Linked DNA regions of Tribolium castaneum. The protein of the gene in region 1 purifies or fractionates together with the protein of each later gene. This does not show direct contact. Links are inferred from orthologs where the notes say so. Each region holds a gene or a part of one and is shown in the gene's direction. Other genes may lie near its edges. The genes, in order: armadillo repeat-containing protein 8, Kaz and UbcE2H.

Evidence for each region.
Region 2: the proteins of armadillo repeat-containing protein 8 (region 1) and Kaz purify together in Homo sapiens (affinity purification with mass spectrometry; 5 studies listed by BioGRID and IntAct, with this or other methods). This does not show direct contact. The link is inferred for Tribolium castaneum from reciprocal best matches to the Homo sapiens genes ARMC8 and MAEA.
Region 3: the proteins of armadillo repeat-containing protein 8 (region 1) and UbcE2H purify together in Homo sapiens (affinity purification with mass spectrometry; 3 studies listed by BioGRID and IntAct, with this or other methods). This does not show direct contact. The link is inferred for Tribolium castaneum from reciprocal best matches to the Homo sapiens genes ARMC8 and UBE2H.

Annotation. Positions count from the first base shown.
Region 1 is NC_087394.1:22,528,238-22,539,615, reverse strand, and holds the start of armadillo repeat-containing protein 8, read left to right. Parts: upstream 1-4,278; 5' UTR 4,279-4,441; coding exon 4,442-4,477; intron 4,478-4,535; coding exon 4,536-5,357; intron 5,358-5,406; coding exon 5,407-5,573; intron 5,574-5,624; coding exon 5,625-5,845; intron 5,846-11,378. Other genes in the region: Sk2 (sphingosine kinase 2), read left to right, coding at 1-5; ankyrin repeat domain-containing protein 54, read right to left, coding at 3,261-3,422, 3,472-4,005. UniProt on the Homo sapiens protein: Component of the CTLH E3 ubiquitin-protein ligase complex that selectively accepts ubiquitin from UBE2H and mediates ubiquitination and subsequent proteasomal degradation of the transcription factor HBP1.
Region 2 is NC_087395.1:21,467,271-21,478,803, reverse strand, and holds Kaz (E3 ubiquitin-protein transferase MAEA), read left to right. Parts: upstream 1-4,647; 5' UTR 4,648-4,847; coding exon 4,848-4,886; intron 4,887-5,052; coding exon 5,053-5,752; intron 5,753-7,233; coding exon 7,234-7,384; intron 7,385-7,448; coding exon 7,449-7,644; intron 7,645-7,690; coding exon 7,691-7,792; 3' UTR 7,793-7,921; downstream 7,922-11,533. Other genes in the region: DNA-directed RNA polymerase III subunit RPC4, read left to right, coding at 1,915-2,835; uncharacterized protein LOC103314256, read right to left, coding at 3,526-3,631, 3,677-4,273; Ent2 (NADPH-dependent diflavin oxidoreductase 1), read right to left, coding at 8,955-9,081, 9,128-9,330, 9,379-9,500, 9,549-9,729.
Region 3 is NC_087403.1:5,358,805-5,369,126, reverse strand, and holds UbcE2H (ubiquitin-conjugating enzyme E2 H), read left to right. Parts: upstream 1-5,627; 5' UTR 5,628-5,772; coding exon 5,773-5,825; intron 5,826-6,044; coding exon 6,045-6,121; intron 6,122-6,172; coding exon 6,173-6,340; intron 6,341-6,391; coding exon 6,392-6,520; intron 6,521-6,569; coding exon 6,570-6,688; 3' UTR 6,689-6,829; downstream 6,830-10,322. Other genes in the region: Creld (cysteine-rich with EGF-like domain protein 2), read left to right, coding at 2,461-2,607, 2,656-3,409, 3,453-3,676; Itpr (inositol 1,4,5-trisphosphate receptor), read left to right, coding at 8,892-8,986, 9,039-9,109, 9,162-9,277. UniProt on the Homo sapiens protein: Accepts ubiquitin from the E1 complex and catalyzes its covalent attachment to other proteins. E2 ubiquitin conjugating enzyme that transfers ubiquitin to MAEA, a core component of the CTLH E3 ubiquitin-protein ligase complex.

The DNA of each region.
Region 1 (11,378 bases):
CCTGATCGGAACATTCCTTAGGTACTAATTGTAAAAATAAATCTAGGGTTGTGATTTTATCTACTTTAGAGCCACTCCTTATAAGGCTCGATGGCATTTAATGGTGGTCGTTTTGCCGGCTTTAATCTTGCTGATTTGTTTTTTATTATTATGGAGAGAGAATCACGAGCTCCAGGTATTACATAACAGCTGATCAAACTGGCCTAGCTTTAATACATAGTATTACGGCAGCTTGACTTTAAAAGCCAAGCTATATTAATTGTTATTAATTTTTGTTCACGAGGCAGAAATCTTATTATTCCAGTGATACGAACACCAGTGTAAGGAAAAAACTTTCATAGTTGAGACAAGCGTCTCAGGAGATTTATCTATTGATCTAGTTAGGTAACATTAATGTAATGAATGTTGTTACTTCATTATAAGGAATCACTCATAAATAGGCCATTATTACTGAACGGTTTTAAAATCCAAGATGCCAATACCGTAGTGCTAAAAAATGGTACATTTGTCAAAAGTAGAAATGAGTTTTAATGTTTCTGAGCACACAATGCATATAGTAAAATAGACCTTCCAGAACAAGGCTTTAATCAACATAGCTTTACAGTAAAAATTATTTGTAAACGACTAATTTCATAGTAACAATAAAACAGCAATATATTTTATGATAATTTTATTCAAGGTATATAGTCTTATCTTTAAAAATACCAAGTCAAGTACGTGGTTTACATGAAATGTAATTGGAAGTAGGTACTATTTTATTTGATATTAAGAAAAAAATCCACCAAAGATTTACCGAAAATAATATTAAAAAAATCAACAATTACATATTTTTTAGTTCCGTTCACATTTTTACCATTATTGGAAAACGCTGCGAATACGGTTAAAAATTGAAAGAACATTTTAATTGTAATCAAATTTTAATTCGAGATTAATTTAACATTTTTTGTCAATGCATTTTAAATGGCAACTTAATGTTGAATTAGTTTAATTCTGAATTAAATTTTAATTTCGCTTTCTATAAATCGACCCCCCCCCCCTGAATTAAATTTTCTTTGAAAAAATCCACTATTTTCAATGGTTTACGTTCAAGACATAACAAATGAAACGTTTTTGTTACTAGGCATATTTGATGCCTTCAGACCATCTTTAGATCCTGAACCGTATTGGTAAACGGGGGATCAAACTAAAATGTTTATTTCTTTATTTTTTTATTATTTCTTACTGAAGAGCGAATACGAATATGTGTGTAAGTCGTGGAGGGAGAAACTTGTGGAGAGAAGGTCTGAATTTTCCGTCAAGTGTACAATCAGTGCGCAGGTTTGAAGCTGTGTCTTCAATACCATAGGCGTATCATAGATTCTATACCGTCAAATTATTTGGATTCTTTTTGACTTACAGTTTTGTAATGTATAGTAATTTTAAATAATTGTTAGTACTAACGGTTAGTGTTTTTAAAGAAGTGTATTTTGACAATGGTTAGCTGCAAACTTTAAGTGCCCCCAAAATTAAAATATGTTGACTACACCACTGGTTTGAAATTTCAAGTGGGAAACAAAGTGCGCGTACTTTGAAAAGGGTAATAAAAATTGTTTGTGTAAGGACCACGGTTTCTCGCTTATGTTCCCTCCACAAGTTTCTCCCTCTACGGTGTAAGGTCTATTTGTCCATAATTTTGATCTAGATATTCTGAAAATGTAGATGTAAAACTATTTTTTAATTTGTTTCTCATAAATTTAGGATGGATTGACTTGGTCCTTAAAAAATAATTGGACATAACATTGTATTTGTTTCTTGAGCGATATAAAAAACTCATGTACAGTCTGTTTCAAGTCTTATCGCCGGAGCAACAATAAATCTTTCTAGTCAACTAAAATAGTTATCAATAATACGAGTGCGAAAACACAAGTTTAAAGTTCGAAGGCTGTTGTTATGCAACGAGCGTATGCGAGTTGTATACCTAGACACCCGAGAATTTTAAGAGTTTTCGCACAAGTGTTATTCAATTTTTTTGTTGGAACATTTTAATTTAAACGTGTTTTAAAATAGTGTTTATAATCAATGATTCAGATATTAAAAAGAAGGCTTTAAATGTTACCAATAAAAAATATATTTATAACCGAAATGGTATATTTAATTGGGATACAGTTTGAAGCTCTAGTATTCAACTTTTTAAGGTTCAGTGTGAGATACTATAAACCAATTTTGCAAAAAAAAATCAAGTTATCGGCATGTTGTCTATATGGTAAAATTAGTTGAATTTAGTGGCAATTGCTAAAATATAATTAAGCAAAAGTTGATAGGTTTTGAGTAATTAACATTTTAACGTTACCTAAAGACCTAAAAGTTTAAAAATTTATGGTAGGCTTAGTGGCAACTGGTGATCAGGTCAGAATTCCTTTTTCAATTATTAGGGAATTATCTGTTAGGAATTTACCACAAACCGAGTTAGAAGTAATCCAATTTTTGTATCTTCAATATAAAAACATAATTATTCAAAATCTGACAACTTTTACTTAATTCTATTTTAGCAGGTACCACAAAAATTCAAAGAATTAGGTCTTTTTTGTGTTTCACAGCCAGACTTAAAAATTTGAACAAAATGAAAGCATAGAATTACAGCGTATTTATCTTTTAATCAACATGAAAAAATTATTTTTGGCTCGGCCATAAAACTTGAAGTACACTGTATTTCAATTCTAGTCAGAACTACAATTAATTTTCTGTAGTTCTACGATTACGATGAAAGAAAAAATATGTACTATTTTTATTTTTCGCTTTTTTAAAAACTAACTGTTAAAAAACTCATTTACTACAAAACGCATTGTCAGTCACTGTTACCACCAGTCTTTTTTGTAATTGTGTGCGAGTAACGAGATTTTGAAAATAATTTTTGTACCTGAGGGCCTTCTTGTTGTTAATTAGATTGTTAACTAGTGAAGTGTGACATTGGCTGGTTCATTCGTGCTAAGAGCAATTATCAGTAATGCTCATGTTTGTAGGCAATAATCCTGCAATTCTTTTAATCATGTGACATGTCTTTTAGCTGTATGTTATAGTGAAATAATTACTGTAGGTGAAGGCTGTGAAATATTACAAAACCTTTTTTAAACTTCACCATGTTTGTTATTTATTTGTACACGGATTTTGTTTGCTCAAATTATAAAAAAAAAATGAAATTGTTACAAAATCATGGTATTAAATTAAAACTTATTTCTGTGATTATAATATTGTAAAGCAATATTTAAATAAATAAGATGAGATTACGAAATCTTGACTCCCTGCAATTCCATTAATAGTTTGGACATTTGGTCATCTACAGTCTCTGGCGCCTCCGAATTTAAGGAAAGCTTCATCATTTGGAGATTGTCAACGTTGGTTCCCGGAGTCTGCTGCTTATACACACTTATGAGTATGTCCACAATCTAAAACTCCCACAAATCAAAAAAGCGAAACCAAACACTTAATAACTACCAATTGCAACTCTGTCAGAACTTGCACCATTTCAATTGACCCGTCCCTCCAACTCCGCCGCAAAATGTGCAATTTACTTTCCGCAAGTTGCACAGGGTTTTTCCCATACAAGTCCAATTTTCTCACATCTGCTCCTGCGTTTAATAACAACGAGATTATGGAAAGATTGTGTGTACAGGCTGCTAGGTGAAGCGGGGTGTTGCACAGTTTATCGTTTTGGTTTGGATCAGCGCCCCTTTCTAACAAAAGTTTCACAACGTCTTTGTACCCCTTACTTGCAGCTATGTGAAGGGCGCTCCTTCCGTGCGTATCTGCAGAGTTGGGGCTCGCCCCCAGAGCTAACTGTTTCTCGATGTTTTCGGTGTTGTTGCTAGCAGCAGCAAAAAGAAGACGGGCATCTCGCAAAGTCTTCATTTTGTTTTTCAGGGCGGCATAACTCTGACTTTTCATTAAATTCTTAGCTTTTAATTCCACATGGAGCTTCTTCTTGAACTCCCCTTTCGTCCGGTTCACTTCACTATCACTGTGAGACATTTTTTGGCAAAGAACCTGACATTAAAGTTGCGAAACTTCAACCTACGCAATGTTTATTTATTTATGGCAAAGAGACAACTGCGCAGCCCCCAATTGTCAAATGTCAGGTGGGATTCCCACTGCATCAAACATTCATATTTGAAAAAAGATGATATTTTCCAGTTTGCTATATCCTAATTAACAAGTATTGTACCCTGTGATGTGTTACACAATTCTGGGTGCTCCTAATTAATTACTACCTTGTTTAATTTATATTTTTGTGGCCACTTTTGAAGTATTGCACATTCGAACTTTTGCGGGGAGTATCCGTTGCGTAAACGCCGTAAACGTCAAGTTGAATGTTTAAAGTACAATTTTAAAATAAACTCGAAATTAGTTGCGTGTCTGTTGTGATTACCCGAAGAACCTTTTTATTTATTTTAGTTGTGACCGTAGAATGATATTTGAGATGCAGCCATTTACGACTTTCATGGTAAGTCCCCGCAGTTAACCTCAAAAAACGCCGCTGACACTTGCCCGTTTATTTGAAGAACGTAGAAAGCACCCGCTCCTACATCGACAACCTGTACTCGTCAGATCCTGAGAAATGCCTAAACTCGATAATTTGCATCAAAAACTCCGTTATTGGCTCGAACCGACAAAAAGAGAGCGTGATTGCTCAGGGTATAGTGCCGCGCCTTTTGCAGCTCCTCGAAGATAAAAACACGAAATTGGCTGTAAGGATCGAGGCTGCAGTGACGATCGGGTCGCTGGCCAAGGGAACGACCGAGCATAGCGAGATTCTCATCAATTCTGGCACTGTTGAGCTGCTTTTGGACATCCTGGAGGAGGACGAGCCCCGCTTAGTAGACGCGTGTTTGTGTTGCTTGCGTACTTTGTCTCTGCTGGACTCGGCCACGGCTCAAAATAAGTTCGATGTGAAGCGGTTGCAGAAGTTGTTGACTTTCGCTGGGCCGGGGGAGAGTCTCCAGAGACAGTCTTGTGTGGCGAGTATTCTAGGGTCAGCGTGTAAGACGCCAGTGGAACAAAACGAGTTGTGTAATGTGGGGGCGCCGAACTTGCTCGCGGCGCTCCTGTCAGTGCAAAATAGTTCGGTGAGGATACCCGTCTTGACGTGTTTGGCGGCAATGTGTTGGAACAACCAAAATGTAGCAAATGCTATTGTCAATACGACTTACAAAGATATTAAAGTTCCCAACCATTTGGCGACTTTGATCAGTAGGGATAAACCCATAGAGATGCAGTTGGAGGCCGCCAAATGTCTCACGAATTTACACAGAGCTGGGGCTATCCCAGCCTACGATCCTATAATAACTTACAGAACTCTGCCGTGTCTAGTCCGACTATGTCAGGTTGGTTTTCATGAAGTAAAATTGCTCCGTTTGTAAAGATTTTTCTTAGATTGAACACTCGGAACCACACAGGGCAGCAGCAGCAAACACTTTAGCTTATTTAACAGAAGTCGATAGTGATTTACAGCAAGTCGCTGCAATTAGTAATCAATTAGTCAGTGCTTTAGTACATTTGTTGAGTTGTCGTAGTGTTGTGGCGAGAGAAGCGGCCTTCAGGTATTAATTTTTTATTTTTTGATAATTCGTTCAATAAGTGTTAATTTTTAGAGCGTTTGCTTCTTTGGCAGCGAATGACGAAGACATAAGAAAAAGGATTATCGACACAAAGTGTCTAATGGATAGTGTGTTGGAAGGTTTAGATGATGAAAATGAAAATATTAGGTTAGCAGCTGTACGTTGTCTTCATTCGTTGAGTAGGTCAGTGCAACAGTTGCGTACCACCTTCCAAGATTACTCCGTGTGGCGCCCCCTGATGGCGCTTTTAACAGGTAAGGAGTAGACCCAGCTTTAGGTGTCCCATTTTTGCGAAAAAATGTTAATTTGCTTTTTTTAAAAAGCTGCCATCTGTTTTACTTTTATTACGTACAGAATGACATTGGGGGCATTTCACGCGAAGCCGACAACAAAAAAAAATTGACAATTTGAAATTCGGTTATATTCGGGATAATTGCTCTCCTAGAAAGCATGATTGTAAATACATAATGATTTTTTTGTATGACACTTGTGAAGATATTGACTTCTAAAAATTTGACGAAATATGAGACACAGAGTTTTTGGAAGCTTTTATTCAAAAAACTGACGCATACCAAAATATTTAAAATAGTGCTTTATATAGAAAATTTTCTGTTCTTTTTGGTTTGAAATGAGATTTGGAATTTGAAAGTTTTTTTGTGAAGAAAACCGGAAGTGAAGTTTCAAATCCGAATTTTAGTAACTTGGACCATTTTTTTTTAAATTCACTTTTATTTCAAAAAATAGCTTATAATATCTAGATTTTACACTATAAGTCGTAAAATGGAATCTCTATTTCGTTAGGAGATGCAGTACTTAATGTACGTGATCGGTCGGTTTACGCAAGAAATTACGCGCTTTTGAATACATTAAGTACTATATCTCCTAAAGGAATAGAGAACCCATTTTGCGATTTATAGTGTAAACCCTATTTACTTTAAGCTAATTTTTAAAATAAAAATAATTAAAAAAAATGGCCCAAGTTACTAAAATTCGGATTTGAAACTTCACTTCCGGTTTTCAATACGATAAAAAATTCAAATTTCAAATTTGATTTTAGAGTTAAAAACACTGTAAATTTTGTGTATAAAACACCATTTTAAATATTTTGTTACATATTGTTTAATTAGAATAACAATTTACAAAAACGTTATGCTTAATATTTGGTCAATTTATAGAAGTCAATAACTTTTTAAACAAGTTGCTCACAACAAAAAACCATTACGTACATTCACACCTTTTAAGAGAACAATTGTAACCGAATTTCAGGTTGTCGCATTTTTTTGAGTTGTCCGCTTCACGTGAAATGCCCCATTGATTTTTTATGCAAAACAATATTTTTTTCACTATGTTGACTTCGTTGTTTATGTGAACAAAATAAATTTTAAACATTTGTCTTACTTCATTTACTGTACTGTAGCTGCAAATAACACATTTTATCGCATGTTTCTCTCATGGCATAACATTAGTAACTACTTACACAAATAAAATAATTGTGGGCTCCGATTGCAAGTAGCATCTTTATAAGACGCTTTGTTTAATTCGTTGTGCAAAACAATCTTAAAACAACTAACAGTTCATAATTTGTGAAACTGAATTCTTTGGAGTTCCGTCCTGAAATCTATGCCAAACGCGGTGGCCAAAATCTGCTAAATCAAACAAAAATAAAATGTGACACAAAATTTACACTCCACACATACATTTCCATGTATTTTGGGTTGCATTTTATCGTCGTTAGGGTCGTCAACTTATACGAATCAGTTGGCACATAGAAAATTAATCACACTTATAAATTTTTGAATAAGGCAGTTTAAGGTACTTTTGATCTTTACCTTAAAAGTCTTCAGGTATGTAATATAGTAGATCACCTTGTTGCATTGCTGTATATTTTTTGGCTTACAATTGTTCCGTTTATAAATATAAATCAAAATAATTTTTAATCTTGAAAAGAAGCTTCCACGTCACATTTTATTGTTTTTTCACTGTAAAAGTAGCGAAATAAAAATGTTTCTGGAATCTCCCCATACCACTAAGTGTAAAAAGTTTTAGACCGATTAATTTATTATTAATATATATAATTAATAGAATCAATTTAGATATACCAGGAGCCTAAAGATTGTGATTCTTGGCGTCAGGTTGGCAACAAATTTGAAATATTAACTTGGCAGTTTTGACTATCAAATTTAAATGTAAAAATTTTCTATATTCATTTGTCGTTCACTTCCGATTGAGGATCACTGGCATGGCAGTTAAATGAAAGGTGGCAGGGAGGCCAATAACTCATTGTTGCCAATAGATTTTTTGCCCCAATCTTTAAGTCACCCCGTAGCTTTCTCCACTCATTTCGTATATTTGCACATTTTGTTTCATTTTTAATTTTGTATCCAAAACATTCAAGGTACTTTTCAAGTTATTTTCACCATTTTCTCGCACATAATTTCAGCTCGTATTTAAATTACCATTGTACAGTTTTTTAAGATTCCTTTTTTTACTTTTATAATAATACAACTTAACCAAATATCTAAGTTTTTGGTGAAAAAGAGAAAATATTTTTTTTGGACCGGGATTCTTCAGGGACATAATGGCTTATGTTTAACTGTGACTGTACAGGGTGAGTCAATAGTGATGCAACCAAAAATACTAATTGCTCTTATCACTTGGAGTTTAATTTTTAAAAACATTGTTTTTTTATCTTTTAAATAATAATAGTCCATAATGAAACAAACAAACTTGAAAATACAATACAATCATGAATTAATTTAAAACAATTTTAATATTTACCGATCTGATCTGCTGTAATCAGTATTATTGGTTACATATTAACAAAAATTCAGAATAACCCACTATTGACTCACCCTGTATATGCTAAAACCTTCAGTCGTAATGCCCCCGGTAACCCCTTAAGTTTGGCAAAATCTTTTTGAAATGTCCTGTATTTTGCATTCAATTCATTATTAATCTATGATCGAAACCGAGAACATAACTTTTTTGATACCAGTATACCCTTCGACCATACATCATATAGACTCGCCGTAAAGCGAGTTTGTAGGCTGGTTGTTTGAAGCCAACATGTAATGGTGAGAGGAGTGAGGGGCAAGAGGAAGCTTACTCCTTTTTCAATGGCAGCTCGTAGTCAAGGGGCAAACAAGTGAAAAAACATTATAAGTCTCAGAAATAATTTCAAGTTTTCGAGATTCAAAAAAAATGCATTAGTTAAAGTACTTCTAATTCTATCTTATGACATGTCGTCAGAGTTGTGATATTCAAAAATATTCAGTATCAAAGCGGAAAATCAGAATACGTTACGACGCCACTGGTGTGTTCACATATTTAGGTTAACACATGTATTTTCTTACTTTCGGATGACATAACCGATGAATAAGCCCTTGTGGATACTTTCTCCTGTATATTTCGACGCAAGAACCAGATTTTACCCATTCACAAGTAAATTTAAGCCCAAAATTCACCATTTTTCCCTTTAATCACAATCGTGAAGCATGAAGTTTGACGAATATTAACGAAACACTTGGAAATATTTTGAATGAACCAATCAGAGAAGGGGTACGTAAGGGTCAAATTCGCGTACCAAGCCTCATTTCCCCTTGCCCCACCTGCACATGTTGGCTTCAAAACAAATCTCACCTTGCCCAGTCTACAGCGTGCTCAAAAACTGGCGCACCAACTCAGTGGTGTGTGGTAGAGAAGTGGTTACACATAATGGCAAAAATAGTAAAAAAATTCTTTGTATTAAAGTTATTGATAAATAACTAATTTCAGGTAAATGATATGTAGCAACGTTGTCTAACAGTCATGATCGCAATAGAATTTGAGCAACAATAAAATAAATATATTTTGAAACGGTTTCTTAGGAAATAATTCCCAGTGTTGGCACATCTACACATTGTGATTCTTTGGGTAAATTTTAATTTTTTTTTATTAAAAAAACTGCTAAAATCTGATAGTAAATTTAAAAATAATTATTCATCGTTTTGTTACGGAACGATTACCTGGTATGAAACATAGAAATATAAAAAAATAATGAAAACTAAAGAAGTTAACACAATAAGTTTGTAGCTCCAGATTTTTTTAAATATAACTTTTGGAATTTTTTCAACATTTTTCCCGTAATCTGCACTTGCTTCTCAATAATCTACCACTGAGTTGGTGCGCCAGTTTTTGAGCAGCCTGTATATGATATATGGTCGAAGAGTATACCGAGATTAGTCAAAATAACGATAATCTTGGTATTATTTAAAATTCAAACTTTGACTAAAACTTTTTTTCAATATTCGTTAGTTTTTGGTCAAGACTCACCCTATACAGGATGGTCCGGCCCAGCTCCTGTCTTGTGTAGCTCATTTATTATTAAAGTTGGAGTTTTGTTATTTTGTAAATGGTATTTATATTCTAGGACACATTTCTGGAAATTATTTTTGATTATAGTGTCCCAAAATGGTATGACGTCATAATAAGGTTTTTTTTTTAAATTGCATGCTATTATTTTCTTGTGTTCATTATAAAACCTTTTTAGATTTTTCCATGTCTCTAAAGTTTTTTTTAAATCGGTTTAGGGATTATTAAAAAAAACAAAAAATAGCGGTTTTACATCATTAGTTTTAAAAATTAATAAAAAATAGAAATAGTGATTTTTTGAAGACATTGTTACTATGTAAGTGTTAAACAAGGTCTAACTGACATATTAAGTGGCTTTGATTGATTTGAATTATTACAGTGTGTTTACAATTTATTTCTAATATTTTTTTATTTTTAAAGCTTTTTATTTTGCTTATTTTAATTGGCAACCCCTGTTTATTTTTATACCATTCGATGGGGAATTAGAAAATGAACATTTTTTTTATTACAACCCTAACGTAAATCTTAACACATTCGGAGTTATTTGCCAAAAACCTTAACCATGTTCTACTTTTAATCATTAAAGAAATTTGTCATTAACAGAATGAGTTTTTAGCAAATAACTTTGAATATGTGAAGATTTGCAATAGGATTGTTATAACAAAAAATGTTTGTTTTTTAATTCTGGATCGATTACCATAAAAGTAAACGGCGTTGAAACCATTTGCGATATGTAATCATTAAAAGTGTCTTAAATTCTTGACAAAACAAGTTTTTATCAAATAACTCCGAATGTGTTAGGATCTATGTTATGGTTGTATTATAATAAGTTGATCGTTTTTTAATTCTGCATCGAGTGATATAAAAAAATAGGGGTTGCCATTTAAAATAAGCAAAATAAAAGGCTCTAAAATTTAAAAAGTTTGGAAATAAATTGTAAACACTGTAGTAATTCAAATCACCCAAACTCACTTATAAGTCTGTTAGACCTTGCTTAACACTTACGTAGTAAAAATGTTTTCAAACAAGCACTGTTTCTATTTTTTATTAATTTTTGAAACTAAAGGTGTAAAACCGATTTTTTTGTTTTTATTTTTTTAAACAGTAATGTCTGAACCGAGTTAAAAAAAATTAGGGACATGTAAGAAGCTAAAAAGGTATCATAATGAGTACAAAAAAATAATAGCTTACCATTAAAAAAGATATTACTATGACGTCATACTTTTTAGGGACACTGTACAGTCAAAAATATTTTCCTGAAATGTGTCCTAGAGTATAAATACCATCTACAAAATATCAAACCTCCAACTTTAATAATAAGTGAGCTATAGAACGCGGTAGCTGAGCTGGACCACCTGTATTTGCTAAATAATAAATTTGTCATTTAATTGTGGCATAATACATATTTTATTTTTAAAGAAATACAAAATAATCATA
Region 2 (11,533 bases), on another chromosome or scaffold:
CTATAATACATCGCTATTTTTACAACACTACCTCACTCGAAGGCTTAGTAAAAAATTTATTTATTAACTTGAAAAGTGGCGGATGCGCGCCGAATAATTTATTAAAAAATTTGTAACTCAAAAACTAAAAGTCGTAGAGCAAAACGGTTTAGTCCAGTGCATTCAGCGGCTCATTTTCTATAATACATCGCTATTTTTACAACACTACCTCACTCGAAGACTTAGTAAAAAATTTATTTATTTATTTGAAAAATGGTGGATGCGCCGAATTATTTATTAAAAATTTATAACTCAAAAACTAAGTCGTAGAGCAAAACGGTTTAGTCCAGTGCATTCAGCGGCTCATTTTCTATAATACATCGCTATTTTTACAACACTACCTCACTCGAAGACTTAGTAAAAAATTTATTTATTTATTTGAAAAATGGTGGATGTGCCGAATTATTTATTAAAAAATTTATAACTCAAAAACTAAAAAAAATTTATTTATTTATTTGAAAAATGGTGGATGTGCCGAATTATTTATTAAAAAATTTATAACTCAAAAACTAAAAGTCGTAGAGCAAAACGGTTTATTCCAGTGAATTCAGCGGCTCATTTTCTGTATTACACCGACATTTTTACAGCACTAACTCACTCGAGAACTTAGTTAGAAAATTTATTTCTTAACTTGAAAAATGGTGGATGCGCCGAATTATTTATTAAAAATTTATAACTCAAAAACTAAGTCGTAGAGCAAAACGGTTTAGTCCAGTGCATTCAGCGGCTCATTTTCTATAATACATCGCTATTTTTACAACACTACCTCACTCGAAGACTTAGTAAAAAATTTATTTATTAACTTGAAAAATGGTGGATGCGCCGAATTATTTATTAAAAAATTTATAACTCAAAAACTAAAAGTCGTAGAGCGAAACGGTTTGTTCTAGTGAATTCAGCAGCTCATTTTCTGTATTACACCGCCATTTTTACAACACTACCTCACTCGAGGACTTAGTTAGAAATTTATTATTTATTTGAAAAATGGTGGATGCGCCGAATTATTTATTAAAAAATTTATAACTCAAAAACTAAAAGTCGTAGAGCAAAACGGTTTAGTCCAGTGAATTCAGCGGCTCATTTTCTGTATTACACCGTCATTTTTATTTACTACCTCACTCGGAAACTTAGTAAAAAATTTATTTATTAACCTGAAAAATGGTGGATGCGTCGAATTATTTATTAAAAATTTATAACTTAAAAACTAAAAGTGGTAGAGAAAAACGTTTTATTCCAGTGAATTCAGCGGCTCATTTTCTGTATTACACCGTCATTTTTACAACACTATCTCACTCGAAGACTTAGTAAAAAATTTATTTATTTATTTGAAAAATGGTGGATGCGCCGAATTATTTATTAAAAAATTTATAACTCAAAAACTAAAAGTCGTAGAGCGAAACGGTTTGTTCTAGTGAATTCAGCAGCTCATTTTCTGTATTACACCGCCATTTTTACAACACTACCACACTCGAGGACTTAGTTAGAAATTTATTATTTATTTGAAAAATAGTGGATGCGTCGAATTATTTATTAAAATTTTATAACTTAAAAACTAAAAGTCGTAGAGAAAAACGTTTTATTCCAGTGAATTCAGCGGCTCATTTTCTGTATTACACCGTCATTTTTACAACACTATCTCACTCGAAGACTTAGTAAAAAATTTATTTATTTATTTGAAAAATGGTGGATGCGCCGAATTATTTATTAAAAATTTATAACTTAAAAACTAAAAGTCGTAGAGCAAAACGGTTTATTCCAGTGAATAACTGTCTTGTCTATGATTCAAATGACGCGCCATAGTGATGCAACCCGAGCGGCACAAAAACCCCAGGAACGTCACTTGACTCGCCGTTTTGTTTACATTATTTCTGAAAAATGGACGAGAAGAAATTCCTCAAAAATGTGTCCGATAAAGAGGTCTCCGGGGGGCGCCTCCAGTCCCTCAAACTCCCCCGCGACCTGAGTTTGGGAATCGCCAAGCCGAAGAAACAGTACACACCTAACCTCAATGTTGTCAGAAACAAGGACAAAACGAAAGAATTTCTCAAGAAAATGGACCAGAAGCGCAAGGACCGGACGGGGCACCGAGACCGCCACAACAGACAGGACCAGAAACCGAAGTTTGTGCAGTCCAGCGGGGTTTTTTCGCAAGGCACGGGCGAAATCAAAAGACTGACCTCCCACAACTCCGAGCCGAGGGTCAGTTTCAGGGACAACAGCACGGTCTCGAACATGGTTTTACCGACAATTAACAGGAACTCGTGGACTGTGAATAAAAAAGCCGAAGAGGCGGTTTTGGACGAGTTGGCGAACTGTGATATTGATAGTGATGACGAGAAAATGTCTTTCAAGCCCTTGACACTGTCGCTGGATCCGGTGCGCAGGGTTAAGAAGGAAGTGAGTGTCAAGAAAGAGGATTTGGAGTTTGTACCTGAACCGTTTAATAGTGAACATAGTGAGGAAAACCCAGCTTTAGCTTTAGTTAAATTGCCGGATTCTTTCGCGGGCAAAGGCCTGAGTGACGATCCTAACGTTAAAAAACTGTTCGATTACACCCTCAAGGACATGCTCGAGGGCCAAATTGGCAAACTAGTGATTAGAAGGTCGGGCAAAATGGAAGTACATATCGGTAGAGTCAAATATGAGTTGAGCCCTGAAAACACGTTTGAGGCTCGAGAAGACCTAGCCACGATAACGGAGGGCCCCAATGGGGAAAACAGCATAGCGGTATTAGGCAGCGTTTTACACAATTTTATCATGTTTCCCGACTATGATTCACTGTTAAGTAAAAAATAATTGTACTATTTTCTATAAATAAATTATGATAATTATCTATAAAACCTACTTTTGGACTTTTGCGATTTTTTGTTGCAATGACTTTCGCATTTCGATGAAAGTCGCACCTCTTTTGTTCCTAAAATTATAATCTTACAGAAGCGTCGTTAATTTAATCTGCAATTAAATGTGTGATTAAATGATCACGTGACCAAATTGAACAAATTTTGTTGGTTCATTCACGTTAACTTTTAACTACGTGTTAAATTTTAATGGAGCTTTCCATAAACCGGCCCTATAATTCTTTTTTATAAAGAATATAATAACTCAAGTATTTTGATGTGTAAAAACTACATTTGTGTCGAACAATTTAGTCAAACCTGGCACAAAAAAACACCAAATTAATGTTATTTTCGTGTATGTCATTCTATTAGTTTGGTTTTGAATTGGGGACCCATTTATTTTAAACTGAAACACGCCGAAAAATCACAAAATTTAGGTCAAAAATAAGCAAAAAAAGGTCACTAAACTACGCGAAAAAAGTGAATATTTTTTTTTAATGGATCCTTCAATGAAAAATTTTTTAAAGGACATAATAACGACAATAAGCGCACAATTTTAACATCCTAGAGGGATTGTAAGAACATTTCACCACAAAAAATTGGAAAAATCCAAACACACGTTTTGTAGACATCCATTAAAATTACTTACGCATTTGTGTCTTGAAGTAAGTGCCCCATGACATTTTTTTCGGGTCACATTCAGGCGGGACCGCTCCCATATTTTTCAGCGCGACCAAATTATCAATTTCTTCCTCCTACGAAAAGTCATTATTATTGCACTCGTGTTGTAATAAACTCACGTGTAAAATACTCAAATATGTGATCGTAAAATCCATTATGTACATCAGCAAGAAAAAATACTTCACTATTGACCACCACGTAAATTGCGCCCTGAGCAACTTATACATTATAAATAAAACAAGACAGGCAGCGGCAAGCGCCCCCGAAGTCGGATTAAAAACCAAATAATACAATCTCTCCTGAACTGATAAAACAACCGCTTCGTATCTATCCTGGGACGTTTTTTGCAACGCATTTTCAAAAATCGAGCTTATTTCGCTAATTGTGTCCCCTTTGGTGTCACTACTTTGCGAGAAATTCAACAGGAATTGAAGCTCACTCGACGTCAATTTAATATTGACGTGACCCTCATGGTACCCCATTGAATCGTCCAAATAGGCGTTAGTCAAAATTAGGCGCACAATTCGTTTTAAATGTATATCGGAGTCGCATTGTGTACTCCCAGAACTGTAGCGCTTTCGCGAATCGAGATCTAGACTTGGGGAGCGAACTGGCACCTTGTGCTTCGCGTTGGTGTCCATGCTATGGGGGTCAACCCATTCGGCGTTTGTCATGGATAGGTAAACGATAAATACTAAAATAGTTGATGATTTCATCTGAAACCAAACGTTTTGGTGTGGGGGACACACAAATTGGGGCCGCCAAACCTTAAGTTGCTAAATGTCGGATAAATAATCGAGGAAATTCAAGTTTTGTTTTGAGTTGTAAAACTAACCTACAATCTGACAACGGTTGTCATCCATGACATAATACCGTCTGTGAGTTTATTAAATAAAATATTTTGATTGTTACTGATTGTCACCTTACGTGTTACGACCAGTTTTAAAGTGAGTAATTGATAAAACTGGAAACTATTATTTTTTATGGCTGATAATTGCTGTGTAAAAGCTTTGTGTATAATTGGTTGTATAACATGGACGAATTATTGAAATGTTTGTGTGTTTGTAATAATAAGGGTCGTACTTCAAGGTTGAGGGGAAGGGCTCTAAACAAAGACTAAACTCCTTCTTTAAAAATACCAAACTTGCTAATTGTATGTGCTTTTGCCGTGTACTCGCAAATTTCGCGTTTCCCGAACTTCCCTGCCATTTCTATTGACAAAATCAGCTGTTTGCGAAGCCAGCAGCTGAGTGAGTGACGTTTTATTTATGTTTTTATTTGTGCACCAAAATGGCAGACTTGAAATCTCTGGAGCATCCCACGTTGAAGGTAAACCACCTCCCATATCCTTTGAATATTCGGGTCTTGTCTCCAAAAACGCGGCCCCACCGTGGGGCCCCCGCCCCGTTACTGCGGCGTTTTCCCCGAAATTTGCATTATCGCGCGATAAGAGCGCCATTCAAGGTCTCAGGGCGTTGTTGGTGTCGAATTCCAGGTGCCGTACGAGATCCTCAACAAGAAGTTCCGGACTGCGCAAAAATCGCTCGACAGGGAGGCCTCCCACGTGCAGCAGGCGGCCCGCGAGCTCGAGAGCACCATCTCTGGGGGTAATGTGAGGGCGCGCGACATCACCTCGCTGCTTGGAGGCATGGTGGAGAAGCTGCAGGTGCTGAAGCGCAAAGCCGAGGAGAGCATCTCCGAGGAGCTGGCCGCCTCGAATGTGTGCAAGCGGCGGCTGGAGCACCTGAAGGAGCGCGAGACGCTCACGTCGGCCGGGACGGTCTCGCAGGGGGCCGTCAACCAGTGGAAGAGGAAGCGGCTGGATAGGATGATGGTGGAGTACTTCCTCAGGAATGGGTATTACAACGCTGCGATTACTCTGGCGGAGAAGAGCGATATCAAGGACTTGACCAATATTGAGATTTTTTTGACGTCGCGCGAGATCGAGAAGAGTCTCGCGAATCATGAGACGTCCAAGTGCTTGATTTGGTGCCATGACAATAAGTCCAAACTTCGTAAGCTTAAGTCAAATATGGAGTTTAATTTGAGGATCCAGGAGTTTGTTGAACTGATCAGGTCTGAGCGCAGAATGGACGCTATTAAGCACGCGAGAAAGCATTTTCCGAGCTTCGAAGACGAGCATTTAGATACGATTCAGAGGGTTATGGCGCTTTTGGCGTTTCCGATAGGTACAGGTCAGTATTTTGAGACTTATTTTATTTTAAACAAAAATGTTTTATTGAATGCTTCCATTCCATCAAGTAATTCATATTTTTTGATTATTTCTGTGTGAGAGAGCTTTGACATAAATCGCATCTAATAAATTCGCATGGTTTTTCACATCCATGTTAATTGGAGTTTTCACGGAAATAATGAATATTGTTGGAGTTAATGAATATAATAATCATTAATACACACGAACCATTACCTCAAATGGTAATTAACAAATAGATTTTCCGAACTGTAAATGTAGTAATTTTTTTTTCATATTTTTGCCCAACTCTGTGTTGATATTTAGGTATAAAGTGAATTTGTGAAAAGGATTTTTGACTTAAAAAGTCCATTTTTATCCGCAAAGTAGTTCGCTTTTTATTTCAAAACATTTCTTCGATGAAAACTTGTTAAACTACAAACAAATTTCATTATTTCAGGTAATTTTAAACAATTACGATCATTGGCCTGATCCAGAAACTCACTTATTTTGCGAGATTTTGTCGGCATAAAAAGCCTAAAAGATTTAAAAAATTAAAATAATAAAGGTGCTACATAAACGTACATATTAAATACAAATACAGACCTAAATAAAATAAAAATAACTTTATACATCCACATTTATTTTGTTATATTTATCTAACAAAGTGAGCCAAAGAACTTTAAAGAAGGTATTATGAAGTATTAGAAATGCACAGAGGTAGAGGGAGAGTTTGTGGAAAAACAGTTTAAAGGGTTTTGTGAAAATTTGTTTTGGTATTGCCTTTTCGACAAGTAAAAGATCTGTTGAAAGGGCTACAAAATTAGGGGTTTCTATTAAAACAAACGTAGGTAAATTAAAAACTAACGGGTGAAAAAATTCATATTTGGCACTTTTTAAAATTAAACCAGGCTTGTTCTAGCATTTTTTCCGGAACTAAATGCTATTTGCAGTTTTAAGAATATTATTCGATATTTTCAGTGTTTTATTTCATAACTAAAAACCGTCGGTGCCACTCGTAGTTTTTTATTATTATTCAAACATTTTTATTGCACGTGTTTGTTACCTTGATTTCTATATGCATGTGTCACCGATTTTATACATTTTAATTTTTAATTCATCACGTTTTTATGTCTCTGATAATTTTCCACTGAACATTGTTTCTATTTTAGTCCAATTTTGCATATAGTCAAATTGCAACCTTTTTTGAGTAAAATTCCACGATAATGGGTAATAGTTTATCAGTTTTAAGTAATTGCCTGTGTATTCTATTTATGCATGCACGTGTTGTATTTTTTAACGAAATGATGGCTTTGTAAACCGTAACTACAATTAAAATTTTGCTGAAATTGAATTGTCTATATTTACACGAAGCTTTATTGTCGTAATTTAGATAAATGTACCAAAAAAACCATTTTGTTGAACGATATTTAACAGATAAGTAAATAAGTGCTGATTGATGGCGAGCCATCTGAAAAATTCCAGAAATAAAACCCTACAAGGCCCTCTTTGACGAGACCAGATGGGACACCCTCATCGAGCAATTTAGACAAGAAAACTACCGACTGTTCCAATTAGCTTCACAATCAGTGTTTACAGTGGCTCTTCAAGCTGGACTTTCAGCGCTTAAAACACCATATCCTTTGATGCATTTTACGTGTGTGTTTTTGTACTGAGTGTTGTTCCTTAACAAAACTTAATCAGTGTTATTCTGATAACGGGGAAAACAGGAATCCCGCCTGTCCAGTTTGCCAACCTTGCCTCAACCAATTAGCAGAGTCTTTGCCTTTCGCCCATTGCTCACAGTCACGTCTTTATTGCCATATTAGCGGATTACCACTAAACGAAAACAATTTACCCATGATGTTGCCCAATGGATATATTTACGGAGAACAAGTAAGTTGATTTTGCGATTGGTCGGTTGTTACTGGACGACTTGCAGGCGCTAGAACAAATGGCGAAGGAGAATAACGGGCAAATAATATGTCCCAAAACGAAAGAGATATTCCCGTTTAAGAAAGTCGAAAAAGTTTACGTTATGTAAATGTGATATTTTCTTTTTTATAGTATTGTTTATACCTCTCTAAGTTGAGTTAAGTTAAGTACTCATAGGGTAACAGTTTTTTGTGAAATATACTTTATGCTTATCGAAATAAAAAATGGTTTAATTCCTGATAGTGTTTATTATGACAGTACCTATAATCCATTCCACTACACTAGAACTTACAGTTTAAATGCCGTTTTATGATTATGAATGTTCCTAAAGCCTTATGATTTGTAATTATCGTGCATCAAATTGAACCAAATAGAAAGCGAGTTGCTCTATTTGGTACTCGTCAGACTTTTGTACAAAATATTTATAAAAATATAATGAAACTGCTCAACAATTTGAAGTTTCCTAACTATTCTAAGTAACTCAGTGTTAACAAAGACATAACATTGGTCAGCAAGACCCTGTATCTTATATTATCTAAGAGTCGAGGTGAAGAAGAGTGTAACAGTGTCAATATATCTTAAACTAGTCGAAACAGAGTAGAAAAGTGACATTTTTAAACTTTGTACTACGAAAACATCACTTTTTTGCTCAAGGTATGTACAATGGACGACCTAATAAGTGGTGCAACAAACGACAAACCAAACCGTTTTGACACCATTGAATACAGTAATTTTACTAGTTTTTGGCAGTTTTTCGTGGTACAACAGTCCGTTAGTCGTTTTGCAACGCCTCTGCCAGTTAGTAGAGAGTCAACAGTTGCGTTGCGTGGTAGATATGATTGGATTCTAAATGGACATCAGCTACGTCACTTGATAAGGCGATAATAAATAGTCTGAATAAATAGTTATCTCTTATTTGTATTTAGATGATTATGATTGTATCAGATATGTAATAAAGCAAGAAACACCAAATTAACTTTATTGAAAAACATAGAAAACACAAGTAGCAAACTAGAACTAATGTACGGTCAGTCTTGCAAACGTCTTATCAAAATGCAAATCTAGTGGTTTTCCCAGAAAACATTTTTGAAAAGCCAATGGGACTAAAACTATTTACAAAACTGCTACAAAACAATATTCTTCGTTAGTTGGAAGAACTATGATTCGGGACCCATTGAAATCATACTTGTTTCTCTATGGCATATGACAGAAACTACTATCTAAAATTGTATAGATAATTCCGTTTCCGTATCATATACCAAACACTTTTGCTAGTATTTGACATGCTTGATTATCCAAGGCCATAAAAATGTCGACAAAATCCCGGTAAAGATACCAGTTATCAAAGAAGCGGCGGCGAACATGCCCGCCGTCGAGGAATATCTCTCTTCCACGCACCTACTCACAAAAATTATTATCGGAAATTTGCCAACTCCTGACTCACCCTGGGGTGTACATCATGGCCAGGGAGCTAAAGTACCCACTAGTCAGCCCCATTGTGATGGCGACTATCCAATAAACCCAATCACTCGTGACGTACACCGGAATATGCCGCTCAATCCCGTTGATCTGGTAATTACAAAAAAAGAAAAACGGGATATACAACACTCGGAGAGTGACAAAAATCCATAAATATTTCGGACCGGGCTAAAATCATGTCATGGAAAAAAGTTCCTTGTGTTTGAAATCAATTACCCAACGCAGTAAGCTAGTCAGATAACTGCCCACCATCGCACAAACATTAAAAGTGAGGAAACACGTAATTCCTGTGTAATAGTCCTCGCCAATAAAAAAATTCTCGTCACCACGTTTAACGTCTGAAATGCAAAACTGTAGAAAAAATATTGGATGCAACAGTTAATTACTTGTCTGTATAGCTGGGAAAATTGATAGGGTTACGAAGAATATGAAAAAGACGTTGTAAAGTTGGGGGAGGGATTTTTTGAGGATGTGCAAGTAGGGGATGCGTTGGGTGCGTCCCTGGTTCATTTGTTTTCGCAGTTCCGCGTTTTTCTTCTCGCGGAGCTCGTGGTGGCGGTAGAATCGCTGGAAAATTTCAAGAAATAAAAATTTTGTTGTCAAACCCGAAATAATCGCGCTATTGGCCCACAATTTTTATTTTAAAATAATGATAAATATAACACCTGTTTTTCTAATCTCTTCGGCGTTATTTCATTTCATAAAATGCCAAAACTGGAAGTAATTAGTTATCATTTTTCTGAGATTTCTCCAGTTTTTGTTCATTGAACTATTTTTCTTCATGCATCAACTGTTAATTATTTGTAGAAACAAATAGATTAGCAAAATACGTTTTTAATTAAAATATTACAAACACTTCTATTTTTTGCTTTAATTTTGTTCATACCAAGGCAGTAAAACACGTAAAACCACAATTTGGAAAATATTTTTCAAGTTATTGAAATTGTTTTAATATAAAAAATTTCCTGCTGTCTTAAAATGAGAATTCTGAACTTGAAATAAAAAATGGGGTCAGTATTTGCGTCTGATACTAATTCACTTCAATTCGAGTTATTGCACTTTCTGTTAAAAATTATTTTATTATTATTGTTCAATTAACAAATTCATTTAACAATAACGCTTTGAAAAAGGTTAGTAAACCTAACAAGAGCTTCATCTATTATTTGTTTGCTTCATTTGGTTTGATAAAAATAAATCTTGTTTCTGCAAGGTCTGCAAAATTAGTGTTTGTAGTTTGCATTAGTTACAAAGTAATGATCTGAAAATTTTCAAGTAAGTTTTTGTCATCTTGAAGAAACTGCTGTAGCGGATATTTTTGTTATTTCTCAGTTTTTTCTGTGGTAATTCATTCCTTTGTTCTTTATTGTCTACTACATATTGAGTTTTGTAAACACGAGTTACCGAACATAATCGAATGAAGTAAATGTTTCGATAAGTTTAGGCCGAAAATAAAAGGTGTTATTTAAACAGTTTATTTTTTTGTTAATGATCTATACATATTCTTACACAATTACTGATGTGCCGTTTAATCTTAATTATTCAGTTTATCACGTTTTGTTATTGTCACGAACGGACATATTAAATAAATAAAATAAAAATTAACATTTTTTTGGTGAAGATTTTCAAAGAAAGACTATGTTCAGTGTTGAGAATTTTCGAATGCTTCATAAACATTAACATAAACGAATTAAAAAGTTAGTCTGCAAAACCTCATTTTTAATATTTTCAACTAATTTAGTGACATACTATACTCATATTGTTAAAATTCCATTAAATTTGTAAAGTTTTTAAGTAACTTAATGAATGAATAAAAGTTTAGTCCATTTTATTAATTTTTTCTTTTGTGTCAAATTGTCAAATGTGATGTTTAAATACGTAATTTTAGAATGCAACAAAATTTCGAAGACGAATGACAACTATTTACAATAAACACTTGTAATAGTTTTATGAAACGGGCCCCAGATAGAGCCTTAAAATTCTCAGTAGTAAAAGATAACGCAAACAATTTATTCAAAACTATATTGAAAAAAATTTCAAACTTATACCAATTTGCGTATTGCACTGAGAGGTTTTGAATATTTTTGGGGCCTAAGACCATATCTATATTTTTTTGTAGGAAATTTAATTCGCTACAACTTCCTTTCGTACGCTTTTTATCTTTAACCCTATTGGCAATGTTTTCAAAAATAAGGGACTGGGCCCAAATTTTTATTATTCTCAGTTTTTCTCAGCTTATTAAGAATTTAATGTTCAAGCAACATTAGTAAACTGTTTGGACTTAAATTAATTTAAAACAGATCGGACCCGAAATGTCCTAATGCTCCTAACGCCCCTGTGTTTACCCCATGGCACAAATTTTTTCCAGTTTTTT
Region 3 (10,322 bases), on another chromosome or scaffold:
GTAAACAAATTCTTCCATTATTTTTCAATTTAATTCTCTAATTTTTATCCAGATTTCATCAAAAAAAGTTGATTCTATATATTTAAAAATGGCTTGATCTGGGTTGTTTAGCCTTAAATAAGACAACAAATAGGTATAAAATGCAGGTATAATTAGTACGCGTGCTAAAACGACTAAAAAACACACTTAAATCTTACAAAATGTAATAAAATAAATAATGCAACAAACATTTAAAACAAAAAATTTAAAGCAATTTGTTACTTAAATAAACTGCTAAACTTAGTTAAAAAAATACTTACTCCTCAAAAAAATTAACTTCAACATGAGCGGCTTTTAATGTATAGTTATAATTATTAAAAGTAGAAGAGGGAGAAGAACCGTGCAACGGTATCTCCCGGCGAGCTCTACAATTATTTACGGAAAAACTAAATTTTTTTAAAGAATTGCTCGCTAAAGTCACCCCTACGTTAAAGTTGCCTTGTTCACGATTAATTTTAATAAAAATATGGAAAAAACATTTAGAATAACACACGACTTTACATATTCTTGAGGAGATGTTTCTTACTGAAATCCTGGTCCAGTTTCGGCGTGCGCTTAATTTGAGGATCGATCTTTTATGATCATTTTTGAGATGTGCTGCCAAGTCTTCAAACGTGTTTCTTGTGCGGCAGTAAGACACGGGGCATTTGATTACATGGTGTCTGTGTCGACTCAGACGAATCGCAGGAGCTGGGCCTGGATCTGGATCAGCAGGTGGCGAAAGTACAAGCCCCAATTCAGAGACCAGCCCTTCGAATGCAAAGTTTTTCGCTCGAGTACAAATAATCATCTTACAAATTGGACACAAAGTTTTGGTTCCACAATCCCCACAGATGGTGTGACCTCTAAGACACATACGAGTTGTTGATAAAATTTTGGAGCAATGTGGGCAGTTCCACAGAGCGGCCATTGCGTCTGAAACCCAGCGTAAGCCGAAGAAGGAGACGAAATTGTAACTCACCAAAAAATGAAAAATCTGATTAATTATTTAAAACTTTGACGTACATCACAGGCACAAACAACCACACATGCCCACTAACGATTTTCTTCCACGTATATCGGTGTTTTTCTCCTGATAATTTTTTTGACTGATTAAGGGATAGATACTCTAAGTTGGTCGGATACACCATTCTTTTTACCTATTTTGAGTTTGTATTTTTGATTTTTTATTTCAAATTTCAGTAGAAATCGTCTTAAAACATGTAAAAATTACAAAAAATGTTTTTGATAAATTGATTAAAATTGTTAAACTGATTTATTTGAACAAACCCAAGAATAATTCAGGTCACCTCATGAAATATAAATCCACATAATTTCTTCAAAAATCAACAAATTTGTGTATATCTTCTAGTCAAAAATAGTGGATGTACGTTTACAATTTGGTGCTTTTACGTACTTCTTTTACCTTTTGCCGCATTATTTTCTTATTTCTGTCAGTTTTATGCTCCGCTTTTCGTTTATACGTCTATGTGCTCTTTTAATCTCTTATTTTTGTTGACGTGTTGTTTCACCTACTTTTTCTACACTTTTTTTCATAGAAAAATTGTTACATTGATCCGGGTTCGAACACCCGACCTCCACCGTCGAAAGTGGCGCTTATACCACTGGCCCACCAGGCCCCAGGTACTGGCCGTCTTTTGCAAATATTTTAACATAATATTTTTAGATAAATCAAAATTACAAACTATAATTGCCATAATTGCCATAATTATTATATTTCCATTTTTAAGAAAACAAATATGTTTTGAGTTTAAAAAAAGTCCTTAAAATTGCTTGTTTGGAATGTTAAAATCCGGTCTCTAAAATAATTAGAGTAGGCTGTGATATTTTTTTAACGTGTATGAAATCGCTTGTTATCAGTTAATCAAACTGAAGAGTCAAACAATAAAACTTCGAACAGTTCAAGACTGGTCTTGTGGAACTTGTTTTTTAATATACAACTATTATTAATATTTACGTCAAAAAAACTTTTGTTTCAAGTAGGTACGGTATATGGTCAGGAGCAAGGTATGCTTTTTAAAGATTTATTTAATTTTTATTAAAACTATAATACTAAATTGGAAAATTGCCTAAGTTAGTGAAACTAAAAACTTATTTTGGTTTTTGTTGACGGCTTAGATATACTTATATGCAACTTTAAATACATTTTGAAATGTTTGCTTTAAGAGTTGTCATCTTACGGTGGACGGATAAGTCGACATCGAGTGGTTATTATCGGATAGAAAGGTTTCTACCTCGAAAAAATTGCATAGAAGAAATCTGTAATTCAGCTTGTGTCTGTCAGTCGTCGAGTCGGAGAGTCGGTGCGTGTGGAACATACCGCATTTGTAATTCTTTAAATAATGCCAAATTAGCAAAACTGCGTCAATTAGTGAAACAGAACCCATTTAGTTTCATAAGCCCATTCCAGTGCTTCTAAAAATGCGAAAAACCTTGATGGTCTTGTGCATAATTTTAAACCTAACCCCAAATATCCACTACGTGTCAAGCTCAAGTAAAGAAGAGGCTGCCAAAGCGAAATTACCACCCTGTCGGGCGTGCAAAATTTTTATCGAATCGTTCAAAAAGGTACGTTCCCATTGATGCTCAAATTCAGTAATGACAACAAAATAACAGGGCATAGAGAAGACAAAGAAGGGTAAGTTCGAGGGCGGCGACACCGCTTGGGAGGAGGAAAAGCTGGGCAGTTACGCCACTAGTGAAATTCGTTTGATCGAAATTCAAGAAAGCGTATGTTCCGATGTTGTCGAGGGTAAAGACCAGTGCTACGCCCTTCACGAGCAGTACGACTCGGAAATAGAAGAGTGGTGGTTTCACAAACAGGGCGACGAGCCCGACTTGTTCAAGTATTTTTGCATAAAGACCGTCGAGCACTGCTGCCCTGACCTGCACTATGGGACCAACTGCACCCCCTGTCCGGGGTACCCCGACAACGTGTGCAGCAACAACGGGAAGTGCAAGGGCTCAGGCACGCGCAAGGGAAGTGGGCAGTGTAGTTGCGACCCCGGGTACACTGGCGAGACGTGCAATGCCTGTGCCGAAACCTACTATGAGGCCTATAAGGACGAGAAAAAGTTACTTTGCTCAAAGTGCCACACGTCCTGCGAAGGGCCCTGCTCGAAGGCGGGCCCCGCTGGGTGCGAGAAATGCAAGCCGGGCTGGGTTATGAGCAAGGAGAAGGGCTGCACTGACATCAACGAATGCGCCACCGCACAGTCGCCCTGCAAGTTGAACCAGTTCTGCGTCAACAATGACGGCTCTTACAAATGTTTAGACTGTGATAGGTCCTGTGCCGGGTGCACGGGCGACGGGCCCGACATGTGCACCCAATGCGCCTCCGGTTACGTTCTAGTGGACAACATGTGCACAGGTACTAACCCGCTTATTTTCCCACTAATCTAACTTTTTCACAGATGCAGAGCAAGAAAGCCGCAAGCAACACGTTTTCCTGACAAGATACATGACTTATCTCGGCCTGTGTGTGGCAACTTGTATTATTTTCAACAAAAATACGATTTTAGCCGCTATTATTGGAATTGCCGTCGCGATTTATATTTCCGTGTCTGAGTATGTTCTCAATTCCCCACCAATTCCAAAAACCGACGATTTAGCCGAACAGTTACTGCACTCACAATAGATCGTTTCGTTTAATGTGATTTTGTTACCGTTTTGATCATTAGGTGGTAAATGTACCAAATTTTTGAAGTACGATGTTAGTCAAGAAATCTTCCGTTCGTAGGTTTAAGTTACTGTTTGTATATACTGACTGATTGTTGATTGCATAGATTTATTTATTTTTCGGTTTAGTGGTGTGATAGGCAATTTATCAAAATTGTAAGACAAGTTTTGTACTTTTCAATAAAGGTATTGCCAGAACAACTGGTTTTTATTTCGAAACTTATATCCATTACCGTCTAACTAATTTCTCCAGCAAGAACCACGTGGAAGTTTAGAGCATTCTTGCCAGGAAAAAAGGAAGTAAGGATGAGGTAAACAATGATTATTACAAAATAAAGGGATAAAGGAATTATTGGTTTGTGAAATGAAAAAATACAACACAAAAATCGTTTTTTTTTCACTTAGCGTTAAATAAAATGCACTCACCTTTGATATGACATTTGCTTATGCTACTGTTTGTAGCAAGGCATTAAAAATAAATTAAAAACAAAAACAATAAAAAAATAATTTATTTGCATGAGAGCTACAACAAGCTGTTATAAATATTATACAAAATAAAGAATATACAATACGGTATAATATATAAATAAAAAAAGCACCTACCTTCATATGGTTTCTGCGTTGGCTAATGTTTGTAGCAAAACATAAAAAAAAATAAAACAACACCGTTGAAAAATCTTTATTTGTATGGAAGTTACAACAAGCGACTATTATCAATATTATACAAAATAAAGAATACACAATACGTTATAATATATAGCAATTAAACTATTAAATTCAACACCTCACAAGATAAATAGAAAAAAATACACCTACCTTCATTTGGCTACTGTTTGTAGCAAGACATTAAAAGATAAAATAAAAACAGCACCATTAAAAAACTTTATTTGCATTAAAGTTACAGCAAGGGACTCATAAATTGAAATTAAAGACAAAGTCACTGAAACTATCACTTTTCAACACCTCATTTAAAAAATTAATATGCACTTCCGCTACAGTTTGTAGCAAAATAATAAAAATAAATTGAATGGGGATGAAAGATTTAGACAGTGATTTGAGTTTTTGGCAGTTTTTTTTTTAATTGATGGTTTCTTTTCGTAATTCGGCTAGTTTTAATAGTAAAATATAATATTAAAAACAGCTTCGAAAACCACAAATGTGCCTATGTGTCCTTTGACATATCACTAAATTGTTATTTGTTATTCGTTACTGTGTTACAAATAAAAAAATATTTACAACAAAAACAAATAAACAACGGTATCAAGAACAAATTGCATGAATAACGTCAGATAACAAGCGTACCTGCTATCTTGAAATTGGCAAGTCTTAGCGACCATTTATGGTAGAAAAAAGTGAAAAAGCTGATTACGAGTGCCAGATTTATTTTTGGTTTATTTGTGTAATTGGCAATTTATCAAAATTGTGCGGTTTTCGTATTTTAATAAAGCCGAGATGGTTGCAAACAACCGCTCAATAATGTTTTAGCGATTTCAGTTGAGTGGTCATTAATGGTAAAAAGTGGAAAATCTGAAACGCAAAGTCACGATCGAGATGAGCGCAGACTCATAAACCGCCCCCGTTATAATTTATGCCACCTCATTTAAATTTCCAATTAAGAGGAATTAATCTCGGTAAACAATTTGGAATTGTGTCGAAAATTGTGCGATGTTATGAATAATTTAAAGCACGCGTGAGTGATTGAAAAAATGCGAGATAATTAGCGTAATCGCCACAATAGAATCTGGCGGTGATCGGCAAAGAGTCGCTGTGTGTTTGGGATTGAAAGTGGAGAATTGTGCGTAATTTGGAGAAATTTGTTCGTCCTTTTGTTCGAATAACATTTTTCCCCCCCAAATCTGTGGAGTCATGCGCAAGAGGGAGGCAGTAGGGAGTTTGTTGTCAAACGTGAAGGTTCACGAAAAACGTATGTGGATTGGTGGAATTCCTGTTGGGTTTTCGCCACGGCCATTGTGTGTCGAAGTGGTTACGTCTCAAGTGAAAGAGCAATTTCGTCGGAGTTTGGATTCATGGTAATATTTTTATGACAACAGAACCATGTCGTCTCCAAGTGCAGGAAAACGACGTATGGACACAGATGTTATTAAACTGTATCCTTTCTTTGTGTGCGATCCAAATGTAAACAACAACATTATCCTTTGTATCAGCTGATTGGGAAATTACACGTTATGTGACTCGTTAATAGGGCCATTTATTTTTTGGGTGCGTACTCCAATAGGCGAATACGTGTGCTATTTTTATCTATGAACAACCTTAAGATTCCTGACAATGTGTTATTGTCTTGTTTTTTAATCCTTAACACTGACTAGAATTGAAAGCAAACACGAAGTCACGATACTTGGCGGCTTGAACGAATTCTGTGTCAAATTTTACGGCCCCAGGGGCAGTAAGTCCTTCGGTTGCCCCATTTTACATTATTTTCATTGATGATTTCCAGCTCCGTATGAAGGGGGAGTGTGGAAAGTCCGTGTTCATTTACCTGAGCATTACCCTTTCAAATCACCTAGTATAGGCTTTATGAATAGAGTGTACCATCCAAATATAGACGAAATCTCAGGGACTGTCTGCTTAGATGTGATCAATCAGGCCTGGACAGCCCTTTATGGTATATCCTCGCCACTGCGAGATTTATTTCATTCCCGAGATTATTTTCCAGATCTTTCAAACATTTTTGAATCATTTCTTCCACAGCTGCTAACTTACCCGAACCCCATTGACCCGTTAAATGGGGACGCAGCAGCAATGTATTTACATAAACCCGAAGAGTATAAGAAGAAAGTCTCTGGTAACTGTTGACAAAAAAGCGATTGTGGTGTTAAGTTGTGATTTTTTAGAGTATGTACGTAAGTATGCAACTGAGGAGGCTTTAAGGGGGCAGGAGAACGTGAGTTCAGATAGCGAATCAACCATGTCAGATTTTTCAGAAAATGAAGCTGAAGACATGGAATTATAACGCAGGCTGTCTACCATTAAAAGCTCGCTCAATCCTCTCTTTGCTATGAATAACAAATTCTTTTTAGTGTTACATGTGATGTGTATTAGGTTTGATTTAATTGTTTTGCATTTTTTAGAGTTTATTATGTTGCACGTATTGCGAATTGCTTAATTTTTTTCAGAGGAAATGTTTTTTTAGATTTACAAATTAGTTGTAGTAACATTAATATCTCATTAATTTGCCTTATTATGTTAATATTGTGATGATATGAGCGTAGCGACATATTTATTTTATAGATTTAGTCAGAAGTAGAGGAAATTTTCATTGTTGTACACGTCATTGAAAGATTTCTGTTTCAAATAACGCAGCTGGAAGACCAATTTATGACTTTTTGTGATGTGTACTATTTGTTGTATTTACATAATGTCACAAACATTTTGTACAGTATGTTTCCTCTACTAATTTAGTTAGTGCAATAGATATAAGTTGTTGTCACTTGTATTAACTTTCAAGTTACACACACCATTGATATCATTATGGTCTCATTGTATATACATTAATTGTCTTTAATTTAATAATATATTTTTAATAAATGTATCTTTGGCAACATTTTTTCTTGCACTGTCAAATAATAGTCAAACATTTGTTTTGATATTTTGTTTTTGTATCAAAACAAAAAATAACACTGTCCATACATGATCCACATCACGAAAATGTTTGTAATTTTGATTATTACTAAGATAATAAGTGTAGGTCATTTGGTAGCATTTAACAGTAATAAAGAACTAAATTTATTACGTACGAGTGTCATTCACCCCAGCTAATGTTTCCTAAAACATTTATTTTATGATATCCCAGTTAAGTCTGCAAAAAGTTATTGTTGCAACCCATCGTTATCTATATTCATTTCTTGCGCAATGAACTAAATCGTAAAGAATCATTTGGATAGGAAAAGTTACGTGGAATAATATTTTTGTAATAAAAAAATGCCTCCATGTGCCTAAAATCCTATGCGTTTTATTGGAAGGGTGTATTCCCTAAAGTTATCCCTTGACCTTTGTATTATTGGTTGCATACGCGTGAAACCGAACATAAAAATAAATACTTGGATCGAATTTCCAGTTCTTTAATAAAACAAAAACACTCCCCACAACAATTGTACATTAGTTAGAGTTTCTAATACCACTTATAGATAAAGTTTTTACAAATGCTAAGATAAAACTACTATGAATTAAACGTGATTACTTGATTACCGCTTCATTCAATCGTTCATTCATAATGTGCAGCAAAGAAATAAAAACAAAACTAAATAAATAAAATATAAAATAAAAGATTCTACAATATTAACTATACAGACCCTTTAATTTAACCATTCAGTAGGCGCCTCAACTAACTAAATTCACCCCATTTAACACAAAGTGAAAAATAAAGAAGTTAAATTAACGCATCTTCACTAGTAACTGGTTTTAAACTGACTGATGGGTAGAAACGTGCATATTGTGAGATTTATTATGCAAAAGGATATTTAATAACATTGATATGCACGTTGTGGTATCATTTTTCATCGTTTACTTTTTTATAATAGAGACATTCTAAAATATGGATCTAATTTTGGCGGGAATGAGCTTTTTAATTTGCGCATAGAACGTACCCCTAGGAGTTGGGGTTTCCCCGTTTTTATCCTCTATAATATAGTGGGTGTATTTGTTATATTGGTTGAACAAAGACAAGTTATACGTTCTCTTCGTCTAATACATCGATTAAACGACAGATAGATAATCTGAGCAACTCATCAATATCTGTCTCTGTTTTAGAAGGTTTGTTTCTTTGCTGTGTAGTGTAAGCAAATTGTGTGTTATGCGAAAATTTCTATTTACTTGCGCTCAATTTCTATGAAAATTCATTTAATATGTGGCTGATAACTTGAGGATACGAGAAACGGAGGAATTTCTATCGATTAAATCTGTAAGGTGATACTTAAACCACATAACCTAATTCTGTAAGGATTTTTTTATTGTTTTGTTTCTTCATAAATTATCGTTATTTGTTGAATAACATCAACAACAATCTTGGCTTTATCTCATCTCATATCGATTCGTTCTAAATAATGCAAACAATCGATTTTCGAAGAAGACGTTTGCTAACAAACATCCCATTTCATTCGCAGAACGTACACTGTTTGCAATGGTAAAGCTCTGAAAACGCTCCAAAAACCAGCAAAATGAATGAAATGGGTTCGTCTAGCCTTCTGCATTTAGGGGACATCGTGTCCTTATATGCAGAAGGTACAGTTAGTGGGTTCCTCAGCACTTTAGGGTGAGCTACACTCGATCTCTTCATGACCATATATAGAAAACATTTATTTTAGGTTAGTAGATGACCGTTCTGTTGTATGTCCTGAAGCTGGAGATCTGTCTAATCCACCCAAAAAATTCAGAGGTTGTGTATTTAACAATAACAAAAAAACAAATAGCAACAAATGTTATTTCAGACTGTCTGTTCAAAATATGTCCCATGAACAGATATTCAGCACAGAAGCAATTCTGGAAGGCTGCAAAACAGAGCATGAGCTCAAATACAGACACCAACCTTTTAAAGAGGTTACATGTAAGTACTTTTTATATTCCTTAATTACTGGCTATTTGTACTCCAATAATTACAAAAAAGTACGCAAACAAATGTCGACACTACATCAATTACAGCAATAATTACATATTACTACTGGTGTTGACAAATTTTTAATGCAAAAATGCTGTAGATGTGTATCAGGTGACGTGATGAAGTTGAGGCGGACTGGAGACTGAACAGACTTTTCAAAATTTGGACATTTTTGGTTCAAGCTTGAAATAAAAATTCTGGATTGGAAAATAATTCGTATCGTTTTACTTGTTATATAAATTTAACCTTCACTTAAGTGCTTAATTATAAGCCATGTACTCATTAGGAATACTTTATATAGATATCCGTTAATAATTTGCGACATTTTAAGCTCGAGTTGAGTTGTTATAAAATTACACTTTACCAGAAAATAGGTGACTTTTCTATAAAAAAACTTTCCGCTATAGGTTCATTTTTAGCTATTTTTAAACAAACACGCACCGTGTGAACTTGTATCCGCAAGTATGTGAGCGAATTTATAATAAAAAGTACAAACAAAATTTTCGTTTATTTTCACTCTGGCTGACTTAATTCCCTCTTAATTGCCAATTTCCTAAGCAAATAATTACGTTTAATTTAGCCAAAATAAATTTCTCATGTTACGTATTCTTTTATCAACATTTTTACCAACAACTGGTTTGCCCACCTAACTTCTCAATACACAATGACTAGTAACACAATACTCCGGAGACAAGAGGAGTTCGATATCAGAAACCGGAATTTGAGTTCGGTGTCGCTTTGGAGTTGCACGCTGTTCCCATTTCCTCTTTCACACATGCATCAAAACAAGTAATAAATAATCGGCACCATAAAAAATATGACTAATTTATTACAAAGACAATGGACGTTAAAGATGAAGTGATAAGACGAAATGTCTTTCTAGCTAACCGGCAAAAAAACTAAACGTTATTTAAAAAGGAAAACAATGGCAAAATAAAATGTTTTTATGTAAGTTAGTTCGTGAGTTATTGACATGACGAACACGTTACATATT